Linked DNA regions of Macaca fascicularis. The protein of the gene in region 1 interacts with the protein of each later gene in a biochemical or structural test. Links are inferred from orthologs where the notes say so. Each region holds a gene or a part of one and is shown on either strand. Other genes may lie near its edges.

Region 1 (4,447 bases):
GATAAATAACCCAGCCTCTGGTATTCCTTTACAGCAATGCAAAACAGACCAAGACAGTGGGCCTGTCATGCATCAACAAGGGGCGCTGTAGGGGAGGCAGAATTCTACCTCCCTTATCTTAGGGTCCAGGCTGGGCCCAAGAATTAGACTGACATTAGAGAGATGAGCAGGAGAAAAACATACAGTTATTTAATACAAATTTAATGTGACACAGGAGCCCTCATAAGGAAATGAAGATGCAAAGATGCAGTTAGGGTCACTTATATACAGAGGTGGACAAACACTAGTAAGTTGTGAGATTTGATAAGGCCACGGGGCTTGGGTGAGGATAGTCAATGGGGTGAAGAAATGACTAGGTCAAAATGCTTACACACTAGGTTGAACAAAGAGTAGTAACTGTGGCAACAACTAGGAAGATAAGGGTTAGTTTAATAAAGTTTGTTTGTATAGATTTCTCTTGGCTTCTGTCTTAGTCTGTTTTGTGTTGTTAAAGGAATACCTGAGACTGGATGATTTATTGGAAAAAAAAAAAAAAGGTATTGGCTTATGGTTTCCCAGGCTGTACAAGAAGCACGGTGGCTGGGTGCAGTGGCTCACACCTGTAATCCCAGCTACTCGGGAGGCTGAGGCAGGAGAGTTGCTTGAACTTCCCGGGAGGCGGACGTTGCAGTGGGCTGAGATCACACCACTGCACTCCAGCCTGGGCAACAGGGTGAGACTCAGGTCAAAAAAACAAAAAAAGCACGGTGGCCCAGCATGGTGGCTCAAGCCTGTAATCCTAGCACTTTGGGAGGCCAAAGTCGGGGGATCAGTTGAACTCAGGAATTCAAGACCAGCTTGGTCAACATAATGACAGCCCATCTCTCCAAAAAATTTAAAAATTAGCTGGATGTGGTCCCAGCTACTTGGGAGGCTGAGGTAGGAGGGGCCTGGGCAACAGAGCAAGACTGAAAAAAGAAGGAGAGGAGGGGAGGGGAGGGAAGAAGATAAAAAGAAAGGAAAGGAAGGAAGGAAGAAAGGGAGCGAAGAAGGGAGGGAGGGAGAGAGAAAGGAAGGGAGGGAGGGAGAATGGAAGGAAGCAAGTATAGGGCCCACCTCTGCTTCTGGTGAGGGCCTCTGGCTGCTTCTGCTTATGGTGGAAGGTGAAGGGGAACCCATGTGTGTGCAGAGGTCACAGGACTGCACAAGAGAGGAAGCCAGAAAGAGAGGGGAGGGGAGTGCCAGGCTCTTTTCAACAACCAGCTCTTCAGGGAACCAACAGAGTGAGAACTCACCCTAAAGGAGGGCAGGACTCTATTCAGAGGGTGACACCTCCAGGACCCACACACCTCCCACTGAGCCCCGGCTCCAACTTTAGGGATCAAATTTCAGCTTCAGAGTTGGAGGAGATTTGGAAGCTTCCACCTTCTGGTCCTTGATGATAAGAACGTTCCCTTCCTTTTACTATAAGAACATCTTTCATAGGGGAATTCTATTTCTTGCCTTTAAGAAACAACAAGAAACTCAGAATGATCTTCCTACACCTGCCTCTATTTTTTTTTTTTTTTAAGTGCCTTTATCTCAAAAGAGTTAATATGCCAGAAAGGCATATCTTTACCTTCTTCAGCATCCTAAGGCTCATCTGAGCCATACAGCAAAGGGAGTTCTTTGCAGGTCATAAAAAGTGGAAGATTCCTTTAACTCTGGTTGGATCCCAGAGCTGTATCACTGTGTAAAAGTGGAATGCCGGCTGGGCGCGGTGGCTCACGCCTGTAATCCCAGCATTTTGGGAGGCTGAGGCAGGTGGATCACGAGGTCAGGAGATCGAGATCATCCTGGCTAACATGGTGAAACCCTGTCTCTACTAAAAATACAAAACAAAATTAGCCGGGTGTGGTGGTGGGCGCCTGTAGTCCCAGCTATTTGGGAGGCTGAGGCAGGAGAATTGCCTGAACCCTGGAGGCGGAGCTTGCAGTGAGCCGGGATTGCGCCACTGCACTCCAGCCTGGGTAACAGAGCGAGACTCCGTCTCAAAAAAAAAAAAAAAAAGTGGAATGCCAGCTGGGCCTGGTGGCTCATGCCTGTAATCCCAGCACTTTGGGAGGCCGAGGCAGGTGGATCACCTGAGGTCAGGAGTTTGAGACCAGCCTGGCCAATATGGTGAAAACCCATCTCTTTGTGGTGGATACCTGTAATCCCTGTAATCCCAGTTACTTGGTAGGCTGAGGCAGAAGAATCGCTTGAACCTGGGAGGTAGAGGTTGCAGTGAGCAGAGATCGCGCCATTGCACTCCAGCCTGGGCAACAAGAGTTAAACTCCATCTCAAAAAATTTTTTAAAAATTAATTTTTAAAAAAAGTGGAATGCCACATGCTGGCTTTCGGAAGGCTCTTCCCACCCAAGTCATGAGGAAGGGAGAAGAGGATTGCTGAGGAGACACGAGGAAGCTTGTGCTGGAGAGAGATGATCTCCACCGCCGTGGCCTACCCGCATCAACCCTTCACAATGCTGGTGCTAGCTCTGGTGGCCACGACCAACAAGCACTAATATAAGGGAGAGGCGGCCGAGTGGCGTGCCCTGTGGACCAATCAGAGAGTAGGGGGCCATCACGCCACCTGAGGCCAGCCAATGAAAACGCGGCAAGCTCTATAAAAGCGGGCAATCAGCTGAGGTCTGGTCAGAGGACACGGCAGAGACAACAGTTTCAAATTCATGGCCCGAACCAAGCAGACTGCGCGCAAGTCGACGGGTGGCAAGGCGCCACGCAAGCAGCTGGCCACTAAGGTGGCTCGCAAGAGCGCACCCGCCACTGGCGGCGTGAAGAAGCCGCACCGCTACCGACCTGGCACAGTGGCGCTTCGCGAGATCCGCCGCTACCAGAAGTCCACTGAGCTGCTAATCCGCAAGCTGCCCTTCCAGCGGCTGGTGCGCGAGATCGCTCAGGACTTTAAGACCGACCTGCGCTTCCAGAGCTCGGCCGTGATGGCGCTGCAGGAGGCGTGCGAGTCTTACCTGGTTGGGCTGTTCGAGGACACCAACCTGTGTGCCATCCACGCCAAACGGGTCACCATCATGCCCAAGGACATCCAGCTGGCACGCCGTATCCGTGGGGAGCGGGCCTAGGAGGGCCATCTCGCCACCTGAGAGGTTGCGCAACGTTCACCCCAAAGGCTCTTTTAAGAGCCACCCACCTGGTCGGAAGAGTTGCTGTAGCAAGCCAGGCTCTTGGGTTTTGGGGGTTCCTTCCGCTGGCCGGTGCTGGCTTACCTAATTCTGATTAGGGTGGGAGGCTGGCGAATCCTGTGTTCACCCTGTCCAGTTAGGAGGCCAGCTACTCATGCGCGTTACCTCCCAGCCTGTCTCCAGTTACAAGTCCAGCTAGTCGTGTGTGGTGCTAACTTGGTCTATCCCTTTAGATAAGAATCATGGTTGGTCTGTTTGGGGACGGGGTGTTGAGGGTAGCGTAACTGGCCTATCTCCAGTTAGGTAAGCAACCCCAGCTAGTTGTGTCAACTCAGCCTATCTACAGTTAGGTTGGAAGGCTGGCTGGTCTTGTGTGTTCTCAGCTCAGCCTCTTTCAAACTGTTACAAGTCCTGCGTGTGTGTGTGTGTGTGTGTACACACAGCTTCTTTCCAGTGAGGTTACCAGTCCAGCTAGTCTCCTACCTAGACAGCCTGTTAAGGCCAGCAAGTAGTATGTGTTATCTTGGCCTATTTTCAGTTAGAAGTCCAGCTACTTCACCAGCGTGGCAGCTCAGGTCTGTAATCCCAGCACTTTGGGAGGCCAAGGCGGGTGGATCACCTGAGGTCAGGAGTTCCAGACCTGCCTGGCCAACATGGTGAAACCCCATCTCTACTAAAAAGACAAAAATTAGCCAGGTGTGGTGGCACATGCCCGTAATCCCAGCTACTTGGGAGGCTGAGGCAGGAGAACTGCTTGAACCCAGGAGACAGACGTTGCAGTGAGCCAAGATCATGCCACTGCACTCCAGCATGGGCAACAGAGCGAGACTCAGTCTCAAAACCAAAAAAAAAAAAAAAAAAAACAAAGTCCAGCTACTTGTGTGTGTTAACTCAGCCTACCTCCTGTTAATTTAGAAAGCTGGCTAGTTGTATATCTTGTTAACTTGGGCTATCTCCCATTAGGTTAGAAGGCTGGCTAGGGGTGTGTGTGTGTGTATGTGCGCACGTGCACGTGTGCCCATGTGCACACACATATGTAGCTGTGATGTTGGCCCATCTCCAGTTAGAAGTCCACGTCATTGTATGTGTTAACATACCCAATCTCCCATTCAGTTAAAAGGCTGGCTAGTCATGTATGTTGTTAATTCACCCTATCTTCTGTTAGGGTAGATGACTAGCTAGTTGCGTGTGAGAAGCGCAGCCAGGCATGTGCATTGTTAATTCAGCCTAAGTGAAATCAATACTGGGAAACCCCAGCCTAAAGTTCAAAGAGGGCACTCTGCCCT
Region 2 (3,571 bases), on another chromosome or scaffold:
CATAAGGCAAGTAGGAGACACCTGATGAGATCTCTGACAAAGCACCACCCCAAATCTCCAAAACCTCAACAACAGGAAACCAGAGCCACACAGTCCCATGGAGCAGAAGAGTAAGCTGATAACCTATGTTTTTGAACAATGGACCCAAGAGAATGGGAGGGAAATGGGAATCTGAAGCATGCTGCCATTTGCTAACAGCTGAACAACACGCATTGAGTTAAATTCAGTCATTTCACTCCCTAGAAATATTTACTACTTTTGGAAATATACAGAAATCTCTATTCTCCAGTAAAATAACTTTTTAAAATGTACTTGGTCTTATAGTCAAATCCAGTTTTAACCTGTAGACAGCAGTGGGTCGGCCAGGTGCAGTGGTTCACCTGAAGTCAGGAGTTTGAGACCAGCCTGGCCAACACGGTGAAACCCCATCTCTACTAATAATACAAAAATCAGCCAGGCGTAGTAGTGCGTGCCTATAATCCCAGCTACTTGAGAGGCTGAGGCAGGAGAATCGTTGAACTCGGGGGGCGGAGGTTGCAGTGAGCTGTGATCGCTCCACTGCACTCCAGCCTGGGCGAAAGAGCGAGACTCTGTCTCAAAAAAAAAAAAAAGATAGTAGTAAGTCAACCAAAGGAGTGCAAATCTTAAGCAATATGGAGATACTACTGTAACTCACACTGGTCACATGCAGAAAAAGTATATTCTAGCTAGACTGAGTAACTCATGGTGTAACTTCTCCCACCCCTTAAGCAGCACCTTAAAAATGAACTTTTCTCCTATAGGTTAACAATAAATCAGCTAAAAGAGGGGCAGCTTCAGTAACCGCCTAAGGAATACATAGGAAGAGAATAAGGTAGGTAGTTGTGACTCTGGCTTTCAGTGGTGCTAAAGTTAGGCCCCTCCAGCCATACTGTAAAATATTAGTACAGACACAAGTTTCAGAGTAAGTTCTGGACTGACAAAAGGACAAAGCTCCACAGACATTGTATGTGTGTGTGTGTATTTTAAAGGACAAAGTTTGTAGAATGCTGCCTTCATTGGCAATGGCTTAGAATTATTCCTTCCTAAACTTTAAATACAATGATTGCTATCCACTTTGTGGGGAGAATGAGCAAGAAATAGGAAGAATGGCCTTCTTTTGACAGAGTAGGAAAATTACAGAGATTGCTGGGATAACTATCTTCATTAGGCTGTTTCATGGAGTGTTACTATCACTGGAATTTATACTCATAATGGAAAAAAGCAGGCTTGCTCTATGCTTAATAGCAGTTAAGGAGCCTTGCTGACCCCTGCTGGCTGATCCTGTAATTGTAGAATCTGCACAAATTGAAAAGGATCCAACAATTAAGGACAAAGGGAAGAACTACAAAATCTTTCCTAACCCTGAGAATTTAGCAGAGTTTCTGATTCTGGGGCCAGCCTCATCTTTATTAAGGAGGTGGTAGAAAGAGAGGGTGGTCCAATCACATTTCATTTTTTCCCCTTTTATTTACCGTAATGAAATGTAATTCCTTCCCACACTCTTTCCACTCTAGATTGTCTCCCACCTCCTAAAAATATGGGCAAAGACCTAAGATTCCTAAGGGCTCCTACCTGTAACTCATGAGTCCAGGTTGGCAGTCAGGCCGAGGGTCACTATCGAAGGACTATGCCATCTTAATTTCACACTTGGGTGATTGGAATTTCGAAGGTCCAGCTCTTTTCCTCTGGCATGAAACCAATGGGAGAAGAAAAAAAACAACCACACAAAGCCACTGGCCGACTCACCATTTCATCAGGAACATGAGCTCTCCACTGGAGTCTGTAGCTCCAATAATCCGCTCCGGCTCCAAACCTCGAGCAAAGCCTCGTGGCTTTTCTGACTGTAAAAACAAGATTGGTAGAACAATTTTATCTATATGGGACTATTATCTAGACTTGGAACTATTCCTGTGTCTCTGATTAATGTAATCATAAACTCTTCTCTTTTTTTTTTGAGACGGAATCTCTGTTGCCCAGGATGGAGTGCAGTGGTGCGATCTCAGCTCACTGCAGCCTCTGCCTCCTGGGTTCAAGTAATTCTCCTGCCTCAGCCTCCTGAGGAGCTGGGACCACAGGCGCATGCCACCACACCTGGCTAATTTTTTGTATTTTTAGTAGAGACGGGGATTCACCATTTAGTCAGGATGGTCTTAATCTCCTGACCTTGTGATTCGCCCGCCTCAGCCTCCCAAGGGGCTGGGATTATAGGTGTGAGCCACTGTGCCCAGCCCAAACACAAACTTTTTTGCCAATATTTCACCAATACCTTGGCTCAAAGTAAGAGAGCTGTTAGAATTCTTTGGAGTGATTATTCATCAATGTCTGAAGCGCATGAGATTTTCCCATATGTGAAAAGGGACATACAGCCCAAGCAAAATCAATGTTTACACCTATCTCTTCACTCTCAAAAAACAACTTACTTTAAGGTACGTACTGATTAAGTCAAAATAGCTACCTCACACCTTTAATGATTAAACATTGAAAACCGTTTTTTACAAGAATGAATTCACTTGCCCTTTTATCTGTCCCCAGCAAGTATCCCATTTACTGCTCCTGTACCATGGATAAAAAGTAAGAGACTGGCTGGGCGCAGTGGCTCAAGCCTGTAATCCCAGCACTTTGGGAGGCCGAGACAGGCGGATCATGAGGTCAGGAGATCGAGACCATCCTGGCGAACACGGTGAAACCCCGTCTCTACTAAAAAGTACAAAAAAACTAGCTGGGCGAGGTGGCGGGCGCCTGTAGTCCCAGCTACTCGGGAGGCTGAGGCAGGAGAATGGCGTAAACCCAGGAGGTGGAGCTTGCAGTGAGCTGAGATCCGGCCACTGCACTCCAGCCTGGGCGACAGAGCGAGACTCCGTCTCAAACAAACAAACAAACAAAAAAGTAAGAGATCATGTGGCTTCATGAGAGTACACTCTCACTTTGTAGGCATTAGCCTACCTAAGATGTCAGAACTAAGAAGAGATGGCTGCTAATATCTGGGAAGAAGTAAAACAAAACTACTTTGACAGTGGTTTGAATTGTGGGCCAGTAAAAATTCTTACTTCTATCCTTACCTCTTCTTTCTTCTTCTTTGGTTTGCTCTCCTCTCCCTTATCTTCAGAATCAGAATCAGCTTTGCGCTTGCCTCCCTCTGATTTATCTGTCTCATGTGCTGTTTTCTGTGACTGCAGAAACTCAGCAATGAGGTCGGGGCAATCCAGGTTTTCTTCTGGCTCCCATGTGTTGTCCTCACTGAAACCAGAGGGCACAGCAAGTCACACTTTCACTCAAAATAAGTATAATCATACTAAGGATAATCGTAAGAGGACAAGAGCTCAGACGTCCATGGAAAAGCTGAAATTTCTTGGGGAATGGGGAGGCTTTTTAGTATAAATAGAAAGCTAAGAAACTGGCTTCCTTCAAAGGCAAATGACTTTTATTTGTCAATTTAAATCGGTCTATAGCCACACACAATATTTCTCAGAAATCACTATGGGCTGGGTACAGTGGCTCACGCCTGTAGTCCCAACACTTTGGGAGGCCCAGGTGGGAGGACTGCTTGAGG
Region 3 (3,647 bases), on another chromosome or scaffold:
TTGAGCACCACTTATGAACCAATCCCTGTACTAGACATTGGAGACATAAAATTACTAAGATACAATCCCTGCCCATAAGGTGTGTTCAAGAGTGCCAGAATGTCAGCAAAAACAAACTGATGGTGTTTGTTTCTTCTAAAATAAATGTTCTCAAAGCAAGTATTAGAAGTTACCATTAATTCAAATAATGAACAAATAATGAACTTCAGAATTGCCTTAGGGTGACAATTTCTCCAAGCATTCAAGGGCAGATGTCTCTATCTGTGTCACATTATATATTAAATGTGTTGGCATGCGCTGAAAGCAGGTGCTAAATCTTTCAGACTGACTCTTCAACACTAGTACTATAATATTTTTTGTATGGTACAGGGAGTAAATGTAAAAGGAGTAAGAGGAGAGATGGTTGTAGGCTATGGATTCTGGGGTAGGATAACTTCACAGAAAAGATAAGATTTGAGTTGAGCTATGAAGTATGGTTGTATAAAGGTATAGAGTATTCCGGGTTAGAGAATCACATAAACTAAGCTGTCCAGGTGAGATTAAGCATAATAAAAGTACCAGTAAGGTGTTCAGCTCCCTATGCAGCTAGTTCATTCCAAGGGTGTCTGAGGAAAATGTTCAACACAGTGAAATCAGGTTATGGAGGGACTTAAAAACTAGACAAAAGAATTAAAACATGTAGTAGAAAACATTGCATACTTCTAAGTAGGGGGACAATATGATTAAAGTGGTATTTTAAGAAAATTGTACTGACAGTGATGTGCACAAGACATTGAAGTGGGCAGAACTTGAGACTATACTGAGACAGGGAAGAATAGAGAGAATAGAGAGAATAGGAAGAATAGAGAGTAAGAATAGAGAGAAAGGAAAAAAATCTGAAATCATGGTTAAAAAAAAAAAAAAAAGGTGCCCGGGGATGGGGAGGGGGACAGGGTTAGAAACAGTTCCAGGTTTTGGTTTGAGGCTGCAAAGCATATGGAGGAATTTAAGATGATTATATTTTTTAGACTGAGAGAGTAATAATAGCTTTAATAGGAATAGAAGAGTTGAAATGCCTGTTTACGTTCAGTAAGAAGAGTATTCGTTTTATTTGTTTTCTCTTTTTTATACATCATTAGAAGTATACATTAGAAGTAACCCATGCTTATAGAAAAAAAAAATCAAAGACTGCAGAAGTATGTAGAGTTAAAAGTCAGTCTCCTGCTTCCACCACAGCCCTCCCCTCTACTGCAGCTTCCATCCCCTTCAACTGTTAACCATTGGCTGAATATCCTTCTAGACGTTTCTGTATGCATTACCACACATGCGTCCAATTCTTTTTTTTTTTTTTTTTTTTTTTTTTTTGAGACGGAGTCTCTCGCTCTGTAGCCCAGGCTGGAGTGCAGTGGCCGGATCTCAGCTCACTGCAAGCTCCGCCTCCCGGGTTCACGCCATTCTCCGGCCTCAGCCTCCAGAGTAGCTGGGACTACAGGCGCCCGCCACCTCGCCCGGCTAGTTTTTTGTATTTCTTTAGTAGAGACGGGGTTTCACCGTGTTCGCCAGGATGGTCTCGATCTCCTGACCTTGTGATCCGCCCGTCTCGGCCTCCCAAAGTGCTGGGATTACAGGCTTGAGCCACCGCGCCCGGCCTAACATGCGTCCAATTCTAGCAAGATTTGGATTCTTGTTCATTTTACAGGGTGATTTAATTTCAGACATACTGAGTTTGAAGTGATCAAATTTCAAGATTTCAGTTAAAAAGTCAGGATTTCAGTTAAATCCTTTAGGCTATTGAAAATCGGAAACTGGAATTTTCATAGACATTTTTAAAGATGTAGAGACCTTAAGCTCTGCTAAGGATAGGCATAAGAAAAACTTGCTTTTGTAAAGAAAAAAACTCACTATATCTAACTTTTTATCTTTTTATCTCTGTTTTATGTTGTGTTTTCTAATTACATTTGAAATTTTATAGGTAAATTACCTTTATGACTGGGCATGGTGGTGGTGCACTGGTAGTCCCAGCTACTCGGAAGGCTAAGGTGGGAGGACGGCTTGAGCCTGGGAAGTTAAGGTTGTAGTGAGCCATGATTGCCCTACTGCACTCCAGCCTGGGCAGCAGAGTGAGACCCTGTCTCAAAAAACAAACAAAAACCAAACTTTTATGATCTGAGCCTTCTTTGTAAATATTCTTAGATTTTAAAAATTCACTTAATGGTATAATTCATTCAGTAGGTATTTATTGAGTGCCAGCTATTGTTATTGAGTTCCAGCCACTGTTTAAAATTCCGCAGATGCATCAGGGAACAACAGAGGAAATGTAACAAACATTGATTTTGTCAGCACAGCACACTACTTATTTGATGATTTAAAAAAAAAAGGCCAGGCACATTGGCTCATTCCTGTTATCCCACCACTTTGCGAGGCAGAAGCAGGAGGATTGCTTGAGGCCAGGAGTTCAAAACCAGCCTGAGCAACATAGCAAGAACTCATCTCTACAAAAAAAAAAATAATAATAATAATAATAATAACTAGCAAGGCATGGTGGCATGTGCTTATAGTCCCAGCTACTCGGGAGACTGAGAGGGGAAGATTGCTTGAGCCTAGGAGTTTGAGGCAGCAAGGAGCTGTGATCATACTACGGCACTCCAGCCTGGGCAACAAGCAAGATGCCATCTCCTTTTTTTTTTTCCCCCCTGAAACGGAATCTTGCTCTGTTGCCCAGGCTAGAGTGTAGTGCCGTGATCTCGGCTCACTGCAACCTCCGCCTACCAGGTTCGAGCAGTTCTCCTGCCTCAGCCCCCTGAGTAGCTGGGATTACAGGCGTGCGCCACCATGCCCGGCTAATTTTTTTATTTTTAGTAGAGACAGTTTCACCATGTTGGCCAGGCTGGTCTCGAACTCCTGACCTTGTGATCTGCCCGCCTCAGCCTCTCAGTGCTGGGATTACAGGTGTGAGCCACCGCGCCCAGCCAAGATGCCATCTAAAAAAAAAAGACAAAACACTATTATTATTATTTCTGGGGCATTTTCTGTGTGTCAGGCACTGTTGCAGATGCTTTTGATCATCTGTAAACTACTTTGAAATTTGTTCTATAATATATAAGCTGATCATGAGTGTGATTTTTCTGTGGTGTTCTGGCTAGTTGTCTGATCATATTTAAGCTTGACCTTAATAATCAGCTTAAACATGATTCTGTGATGTTCTATTTAAAATATTAAATTCTTTCCAATAACTAGGTTAAAATGTTTGATTCTGAGCTGCATATTTACTTACTACCTTTTTTAATATTTAAAAATATATTCACGGGATTTCTTCAAATAATTTGATTTGCTTTTGGCTTTGTTTCAGATGGCCGAACAGACCCAGTTTTGGATGATGTTGGTGAAGCTTTCCAGCTGATGGGGGTTAGTCTACATGAACTAGAAGACTATATTCACAACATTGAACCTGTCACCTTCCCACACCAAATTCCGTCATTTCCCGTTAGCAAGAACAATGTACTTCAGTTTCCTCAACCTGGAAGTAAAGATGCAGAGGAAAGAAAAGAATACATTCCTGATTACCTGCCACCCATTGTGTCTTCTCAAGAAGGTTTGTGAGTGTTTCTTCTTCATTTGTTAGGGACTATTTTAATGGATTTTTGATCCTCTTAGCTTTCCATGCTATG

What was found.
Region 2: the proteins of H3-4 (region 1) and CBX1 interact in a test that uses a peptide from one of them, tested with the Homo sapiens proteins (3 studies listed by BioGRID). The link is inferred for Macaca fascicularis from reciprocal best matches to the Homo sapiens genes H3-4 and CBX1.
Region 3: the proteins of H3-4 (region 1) and TAF3 form a complex in vitro, tested with the Homo sapiens proteins (2 studies listed by BioGRID, with this or other methods). The link is inferred for Macaca fascicularis from reciprocal best matches to the Homo sapiens genes H3-4 and TAF3.

Annotation. Positions count from the first base shown.
Region 1 is NC_088375.1:86,334,847-86,339,293, reverse strand, and holds H3-4 (histone H3.1t), read left to right. Parts: upstream 1-1,538; 5' UTR 1,539-2,690; coding exon 2,691-3,101; 3' UTR 3,102-4,081; downstream 4,082-4,447. UniProt on the Homo sapiens protein: Core component of nucleosome. Nucleosomes wrap and compact DNA into chromatin, limiting DNA accessibility to the cellular machineries which require DNA as a template.
Region 2 is NC_088390.1:58,656,713-58,660,283, reverse strand, and holds part of CBX1 (chromobox protein homolog 1), read right to left. Parts: intron 3,259-3,571; coding exon 3,081-3,258; intron 2,523-3,080; exon of another isoform or gene 1,863-2,522; coding exon 1,768-1,862; exon of another isoform or gene 1,536-1,767; intron 854-1,535; exon of another isoform or gene 781-853; intron 1-780. UniProt on the Homo sapiens protein: Component of heterochromatin. Recognizes and binds histone H3 tails methylated at 'Lys-9', leading to epigenetic repression. Interaction with lamin B receptor (LBR) can contribute to the association of the heterochromatin with the inner nuclear membrane.
Region 3 is NC_088383.1:8,691,175-8,694,821, forward strand, and holds part of TAF3 (transcription initiation factor TFIID subunit 3), read left to right. Parts: intron 1-3,328; coding exon 3,329-3,571; intron 3,572-3,647. UniProt on the Homo sapiens protein: The TFIID basal transcription factor complex plays a major role in the initiation of RNA polymerase II (Pol II)-dependent transcription.